Canis lupus familiaris: one gene and its partner. Each later gene encodes a partner of the first gene's protein in a complex. Links are inferred from orthologs where the notes say so. Each region holds a gene or a part of one and is shown on either strand. Other genes may lie near its edges.

Region 1 (3,945 bases):
ATCTCATTTGTACCTACTACTTAATCTTTTCTAGTTAACTTATTTTGTTCTCCAGTGATTGTGTTTAACCATTTTCTCACATGGTAGTTGACAACATAGGCTCTAGGATGAAGCTCCCTAGATTTAAATCTTGACTCTACCACGTACTTACTGGGTTATTCAGCCTCCTTGAATCTCAGTTCCTCACCTGTAAATAATACCTACCTTATAAGGGATGCAATAATGAGCATAATGCATAGCATTATTATTTATTAGTTGTTACTTGGAAGTCCCAGCTGCATTTTGTCTGTTTGTTTGCTGTTGATTTCATGGCTCTCATCTCTAGTGTTTCTTTCTTTAGTGGTCCTTGGTACCTTAATTTTGGTTAGGAGGGCACCTTGGTGCTCAGAGGACTGTTCCTGGAGAAATGTTTTGAGCCCTTGTATTGCCCATGGCCTACATCATCACCCTCCTCTTCTGCAGTACTGCTGCAAGATGACAGCAATGTGGACTGACTATAGCAGGAATGCCAGCAGCATCTTTAACCATAATAAAGACCAGGATTAGCTGAGGGTTTCTAACTAGATGCCCAACTCTTTCCTATTTCCTCGTGTCCATTCATTGAACACATCATCCAGCTCTTGCTATGTGCCAACTGCTAGGATCAATAAGAGTCAAAAGTAGCTCCAAATTCTTAGGGACTCACAGATCCTTGGTGAAAGATAGCCATGGGCATAGCTGACAAGCATGTCCTGGGCATTAAGATGTCCCCCAGTGTGTGCCAGCTGCGTTAGCCTCAGTGGGGAGCTTGTTAGAAACAATATCTGAGGGTGTTTTACAAGAACCACAGTGTTCATGTGGATAATGCCTGGTGACAGATCCCCCAGGGCATGTGGATGTTTGTTTCTCTTGGACCCTGCCAACCAGTCCTCTATTTCTGAAGCAGTGTTTACAGACACAGTCTGCCGGGAAGGCTGCTCCAGCAAAGACTGTGTCACTGCTCTGGGGAATGTTTTCTAGAGCTTCCAGAAATGCCTCAAAACTCAGGACTGGCACAGCAAGTGACTGCTTTGCTGTTAGAGCTCTTAATATGAAGGGCCAGGAGCGACCCTGGCAAACGCAGGGCTGACGTGTGTGGGAACAGTGGGAGTGACCCTGGCAGGGAAGCAGGGGAGGCCTGGATATTGTTTCTCCGTCCCCTGCCCTGCTACTCTCTGCCCCGGGCTTGGAGCTCTCAGGCACCCTGGGATGGCGTTCCCGGGCAGGGTGCACCCTTGTGTTATCCCAGAGAATGAAGAAATCCCCCAGGCAGTCCTTAACAGTGTCCACCAGGCTAATGGCAATGAAGACGAGCGGGCTGTGTCCAAATTACAGCGCAGGCACAGTGACGTAAAGGTCTACAAGGAGTTTTGTGACTTTTATGCAAAATTGTAAGTGTCTCCTCTCCTGGAAGAGGAGCTCCTATCTTCCAGATCTAGTCTGCTTGGGCTTTGAGTTCAGTAGCCATTGATAGTTTTATTTCCTCGACTCTGAGCAGGGGCATTCCAGAGTGATGGAGGGGAGGGAGGCCTATTCCAGCAGGCGGGGAGATACACCAGATGAGATGCAGAAGTAAAGGAAAATGCTGCCTTTAAAGTAATAGTAGTAATGTCTTTGTGTTCAGTAGGTTCCTCATAATAGTACATTTTCATTATGTAGTCCAAGGGGGAGGCTTAGAGTTGCTGCTGGCAGGGTTTATAATAGAAAGATTGTATACTCTTAAACTTCCCACAGATGACAAGTTGGTTGAGGGAAACAGTAAAACTGAATTACAGACTGTTGATAAAGATACACATTTTTGTTAGGTTTAACAGCAATTTGAGGTAGGCAAACTGGATTTCTTAATATTGTCTTAAGGGGATTGAATCAATAAATAAGAATGTTGTGTATTTAGCAAATATAGGTGTGTGTGTGTGTGTGTGTGTGTGTGTATATATATATGCCATATATATGCCATTAACTCTAAAAAGTCTAATTCATGTTATTAAATGAGTTTTAGCAAACAATTTTAAAAAGTAGTGCAAAGTAGTAGTTAGACTCATGGAAGATTGTTGATCTTCCGCAAAGTCATAAGCTTAGAATTAACTGCAAATCCTCAATTTGTCAATCATGAGTTAAGGGGAATTTAACTGACCTGATTCTCTATTTCCATTAATCTATTATGTGTGGTATTATAACAGATGTCCTCTGTTTTCACGACTTATAAAGAGTTCTGTTTAAATGTAATGGGGAAAAAAAAAAAAAATAAATGTAATTGGGCAATTATAATTATACTGTAACCAAAATGCTCTGTGGACTCTTAAGATGCTTTTTGGATTTACACATTTTTTTCGTTTTGATGCCAGCAAATTTGTTTTACATACTTTTAACAGTGAGACACTTGAAAAAAAGCCCAGTGATACCAAGTTTTCTGTGTATGGTTCATCTGTAGAAGTGGATTGGGTAAATCAGTTATTACTGGCCAAATGTGAAGGTTCTGTACTAAAGGCTTCTACATATATATTTCCCAACATATATATTCTTTATCATCAATACTTCTTAGCAAAAATCCTTTTTTGAAAAATTAGCCGACTAATTATAACTAGCCAGATGACAGTTGTAACTATCATTCATGACTTCTAAAATGTAACTTTTATATATAAAAACAGTTATAAACAAATGCATAGGTCACTGTAGATTCATCATCAGTCATAACAGACTACGTTTATGGTAGAGATGTTGGTAGCAGGGGAGGCTTGCACGTGGGGATGAAGGGGAACTCGACTCCTTTTGCCTCAGTTTCACTGTAAACTTAAAACTGCTCAAAAAAACAGTCAATTGAAAGAAATATATAGTGCCAGAGGGTCAAAGACAAGAAAGGAAAGTTAATGTAAACAGTTCAGTAGGTTAGTGAGATTATTAGGGGTTCTTTCCTGAAAGTTTCCTCTAATGTAGTTTCTTTTCTTATCCTGCTTGTTATTAAAAGGAATACTTCTTCAAAAATACATATTATCTCCAAAGCTAGTTTATTTTTCCTGTGTATGAGAAACTGTCTACCTATTTTCTCACTATTTCAGTATTTGAATTAGAATATAAACAGTGTTTAGTACAATGAGTAGGAAACAGGTGACAAATGCTTTGATATTAGGACTGCTTTCCACTCTTAAGGGCAGCCCAGGTGGCTCAGCGGTTTAGTGCCGCCTTTGGCCCAAGGCGTGATCCTGGAGACCTGGAATCGAGTTCCGCATCGGGTTCCCTACGTGGAGCCTGGTTCTTCCTCTGCCTGTGTCTCTGCCTCTCTGTGTCTCTCATGAATGAATGAATGAATGAATGAATGAATAAATAAATAAATAAATAATAATAAAAAGGTATTGAGGTCTGCAGAGAGCTTTTGCTTATCAATATTTACTGAAAATACAAACTAAGAACAAAATTAAATATGTATTCATTTGAGATACATAAACTCATTATGCATTTATTCATAAGTGTTAATTTTTATGAAAAATAACTCTTTCCAAAATGAAAAAAGTTTGGTGGGAAAAGTGGCATTGAATTACATATTTTCAAATCTTCATTAATGACAGTCTAAGACAGTTTCTCAGTTCTGTTTCTGCATTTATCTTAGTGTTATATGTTGCCTTAGATATATATACAAAGAAAATAGGCCTCCCACAGATGCAGGTGGAAAAAGGACCTTTTGAACCCCTAAATGGGTCACAGTGACCCCTATACTTTGAGAACTACTTGATCTAGATAATGGAGCAGGATATTCCAGAATGTCCTTCTCTTCCTGCTTTTTGAGAGTTCTGTGAAAATTATAAGGATCTGGTGAATCTTTTGAGAGGATTCAAAATTAATAATGATGCCTTTATATTTGGGTAGCATCTTCTGGCTTTCAGAGTTATATACTTTTTAAAAATTTTTTCCTCGAAACGATATTAGGGCAGG
Region 2 (3,600 bases), on another chromosome or scaffold:
CCAGCTAGGTGCTAGGAATCACTAGAACAGTGCTAGCAATCCCTAGCTGGGTGCTGGCAATCCCTAGCTGGGTGCTAGAAATCCATCTGGGTGCTAGGAATCTAGCTGGGTGCTAGCAATCCCCAGCTGGGTGCTGGCAATCCCTAGCTGGGTGCTGGCAATCCAGCTGGGTGCTAGGAATCTAGATGGGTGCTAGCAATCCCCAGCTGGGTGCTGGCAATCCCTAGCTGGGTGCTAGGAATCCCCAGCTGGGTGCTAGGAATCTAGATGGGTGCTAGCAATCCCCTGCTGGGTGCTAGGAACCCCCAGCTGGGTGCTGGCAATCCCTACCTGGGTGCTGGGAATCCAGCTGGGTGCTAGGAATCTAGCTGGGTGCCGGGAACACAGACCACTGTGCCGTTCTTGCATTCGAGCAGCTCATGATACAGCCTAAGGAACGACTGTGGGGAAGGGATCAGAGTACTGACCTCTGAACACTGAACCACAACTAAAGAGACAGGACAACGAGGAGCAACTAACTTCTCGCTTCCCGGGTTCCCAAGTTGAGCGACCACCCTCTCCCCACGGTCCCGCCCCCAGGTTCCCGCTTCCGCCCACAGCTCTCCGCGCTTCGGCGCACAAACTGCGCCTGCGCCGACGCTGGTGCGCGTGCGCCCAGCCCGGTCCTCTCGGAACGACAGCCCCGGGCGCATTCCAGGGGGACGGGCTAACCTCGGGGCGGGACGGGACGGAGCCTCGAGGCCAGGCGGCGGACGTGATTGGCCGGCCGCGGTACACGTTCCTTGTGGGCGGGGCCTCACCCTGGAGCCGCGTCTAGTGAACTGGTCTCCTAATTTGGGAACCGCCAGGCGCGGGCGGGGCGTGGAGCGCAGGGCGGCGGGCTGTGCGCCTGCGCGGAGCTCCGGGACAGGGCGCGGTCCCCGTTCCCGTTCCCGTCCGCGGTCGCTCCGAGCCGGCGCATCTGTTGCTGCTGCAGCGCGCGAGGCGGACGCCTGTGCTTCCCTCGCCCGCCGGGTCGGCGCCGCGCTCCGCGGTGAGTGTGCGGCGTGGCACCCGGGCTCGCCTCCCTGAGCGCCCGGAGCGGTGCGGACGCCCCCCGCCCCCCGCCCCCCGCCCGGGGCCAGCCCGCGCCGAGCCCCCCCAACCCCCGGCCCCCCCCAACCCAACCCCCGCCCCCGGCCGTCGCCCACCTCCTCTGTTGTCGTTTGCTCCAGAACATGTCCAAGTCCCTGAAAAAGTTGGTGGAGGAGAGCCGGGAGAAGAACCAGCCGGAAGTGGACATGAGTGACCGGGGCATCTCCAACATGCTGGACGTCAACGGCCTGTGTAAGTGCGGGGGCCGCGCCCTCCCGGGGCCTGCAGGCTGTGCGCGCTTCCCGGGGAGCCGCCGGCCGCCGGGCTCCACAGCTTCCAGGGCTCTGCACCCCTGCGTGCAACCCTCGCCCGCGGAGAGCTTAGCTCAGAAAGTTTGCAGCCGGGGACCTGGCCCGGCCCGGCTGGAAGACGAGCCTCAGAGCCCGGGGTAGGAGTCACCCAGGCAGTAGCTGGTATTTGAGAAGATTTCCCGCGCAGTTTACTGCACACCCACTCTATTTTAAATCGAAAATCACTTTTGCATCAGGCTTGTTTTCTCCTAATATAGTCACTGACCCTTGAGCAATCGCCACACAGAAGTTCCATGATTAACTCCTCTTATGGCTGCTGGAGTTTGTTAAGCATGTCTCCTCCACTCCTTGCCCTTTCCTGGCTCTTTATTCTTAGTTGAGGCTTTTGTTACCTCCTCGTGCTACTGTGATGTATCCCCTAACTTTTAGCCTCTTGCCTTCAGGTTTGCTGACCCTGTGCTTCAGTCACTGTGTTGCTTTCTAAGGTTATTTTTCTGCAACATATCTTAGCCTGTAACTCACTCCGTTAAGCCAGAGATTGCAAACTCAGATGTCTTTTGGGGCCAGCTGAGGATGGTCATGAACTTCATCGTGGGTATCCCATCTGAAGAGGGGCAGCTGCCGAACCTGCTGCGCACGTGCACACGGTTGTCACCACCTGGGGATGTTGGCCTAGTGTTGCCATAGTTGTTGTTTTCAGGAAGGCAAGAGTTTAGGTTTTTACGTGAAATTTCTTAATTTTTTACACATTGGCAACTAATTCCAGTACTGAAAAGTGCAGGTGAAATAAAACACTTCTTCAGGCCGAGTGTGGCCTCAGTTTGGACCTTCTCCCTTAAACACTTCTGGTTGTTCATTAGCAACAGTGATGCTCCAAGTTCTTTGGCGTGACATGCGGAGCCTTTGTGAATCTGGCCAAAGCCTACCTTAGTTCCTATCTCATCCATGCGTTTGTTCTTCCCGCCATACTGAACGGATTGCCCTTCTTGAACCAGGGCAGTGTCTTTCAGGTCTTTGTGCCTTAGAAGTATTGTTTTCTTCCTCTCTTTTTCCCCCAGATCCTTTTACTTATCTGTCAAGAATCAGCCCAGATGCCATCGCCCGTGTGAAAACTTCTCTTTTCGTGTCAAGCAAATAGTCATCCCCTCCTCTGTGGAGGTGGACATGCCTTGCTTCATGGCTCTGCTTACCCGGGATTGTGATCCGTTCTTAATCCAGATGTCTCTCACCCGCATTGGAGACTGGGGGGGAATGTTGCTGTGCATTACTCATAAATGCCTTCTTGGTAGTGGGCCTGGCATACAGTAGGTGCTCAGAAATGTTGGGTGGATGGAGTTGCTGAGATTCAGACCAGGATGTGACATTGGAGGAGGAGGAGAGATGTTCAGGAGATCCTAAAAGGTGATGCATTGCTTGTTTGGCATGGAGAGAGCAGAGTCAATCAAATTTACTGTGAATCCGTGGTTTGTGCCCAGGACAGATTGGGTTGGGGCTCTTGATGCATCTCTGCAAAAGGAAAGGGGTTAGAAGTCCTAGACAGTTTGCATTCGGTAACCCTTAGGAAGGTTCCTGCCGCGGAGCTTTAGCTTTTGAACCAATTAGCATGTTACCTTCTTGAGATGAGTTGGCCTCTCCCAAGTGGTGATGGCTTCTTGGTGGCAGCAGCAGAGCTGCAGGCTCTGGGGGCTGGGTTGGCAGCCGCCAGCCAGGCTGGATGTGTGCTTGCGCTGCCACTTCTGGCTCTGCCTAGGTCGAGGCGATCATGGGGCGCTCTGCTGTAATGAAGGATGGTGAGCGCAAGCAGGAGGCCTGGCTCCACTGTACTTTTGGCCCCATGGCTGTCTGCTCCTCATCTCTGCAGAGGAACTTCATAGCCTTTGGCTTTGAAGAGAATTCTTTATGTAATATTTATAAGTAAGGATTGTGGCCTGGCTATTTTGGTTCCCTTGCATTATCTCTTTGAAGCCTTGGCTTTTACTGAAGGAGAAAAGATAGCCACTTGCTTCCTGAGAAAGATGTTTCCGGTGTAATAGTAGGTGGTAAAAAGCAAGATCTTTCTTGTGTTCTCCCGGAGAAGTAGCATAAGGAAGAACAAGCCTGCTTCCTGGGTAGTTTGGAGATTGGACCTTCTGCAGCTTCTGTGGTGTGCGTAGACTCAAAGAGTGGCTGCTTTCTGCTGAAATTCCCTCTCTCCTGGACTCCTGGAGCCTGGAAG

The links. The genes of interacting proteins can lie anywhere in the genome.
Region 2: the proteins of LIMS1 (region 1) and RSU1 are in contact, whole or in part, in a crystal structure (PDB 7LT9), measured with the Homo sapiens proteins. The link is inferred for Canis lupus familiaris from reciprocal best matches to the Homo sapiens genes LIMS1 and RSU1. Residues at the interface, in NP_001180417.1 of Homo sapiens: Cys252, Phe253, His254, Cys255, Asn256, Leu267, Asn268, Lys269, Ser279, Thr280, Cys281, Asn282, Thr283, Glu293, Phe294, Asp295, Met296, Lys297, Cys303, Lys306, Phe307, Pro308, Glu310, Leu311, Arg314, Leu315, Lys317, Leu318, Ala319; in NP_036557.1 of Homo sapiens: Asp21, Ser23, Asp24, Gln44, Val46, Ser48, His49, Val67, Asn69, Phe71, Asn72, His90, Asn92, Met95, Glu112, Asp115, Thr117, Tyr118, Arg137, Ala138, Tyr140, Ser142, Asp143, Ile161, Ser163, Arg165, Asp166, Glu184, His186, Gln188.

What each region holds. Positions count from the first base shown.
Region 1 is NC_049231.1:36,276,722-36,280,666, reverse strand, and holds the start of LIMS1 (LIM and senescent cell antigen-like-containing domain protein 1), read left to right. Parts: upstream 1-1,158; 5' UTR 1,159-1,227; coding exon 1,228-1,409; intron 1,410-3,945. UniProt on the Homo sapiens protein: Within the IPP (ILK-PINCH-PARVIN) complex, binds to F-actin, promoting F-actin bundling, a process required to generate force for actin cytoskeleton reorganization and subsequent dynamic cell adhesion events such as cell spreading and migration.
Region 2 is NC_049223.1:19,007,316-19,010,915, forward strand, and holds the start of RSU1 (ras suppressor protein 1), read left to right. Parts: upstream 1-874; 5' UTR 875-1,033; intron 1,034-1,214; 5' UTR 1,215-1,217; coding exon 1,218-1,326; intron 1,327-3,600. UniProt on the Homo sapiens protein: Potentially plays a role in the Ras signal transduction pathway. Capable of suppressing v-Ras transformation in vitro.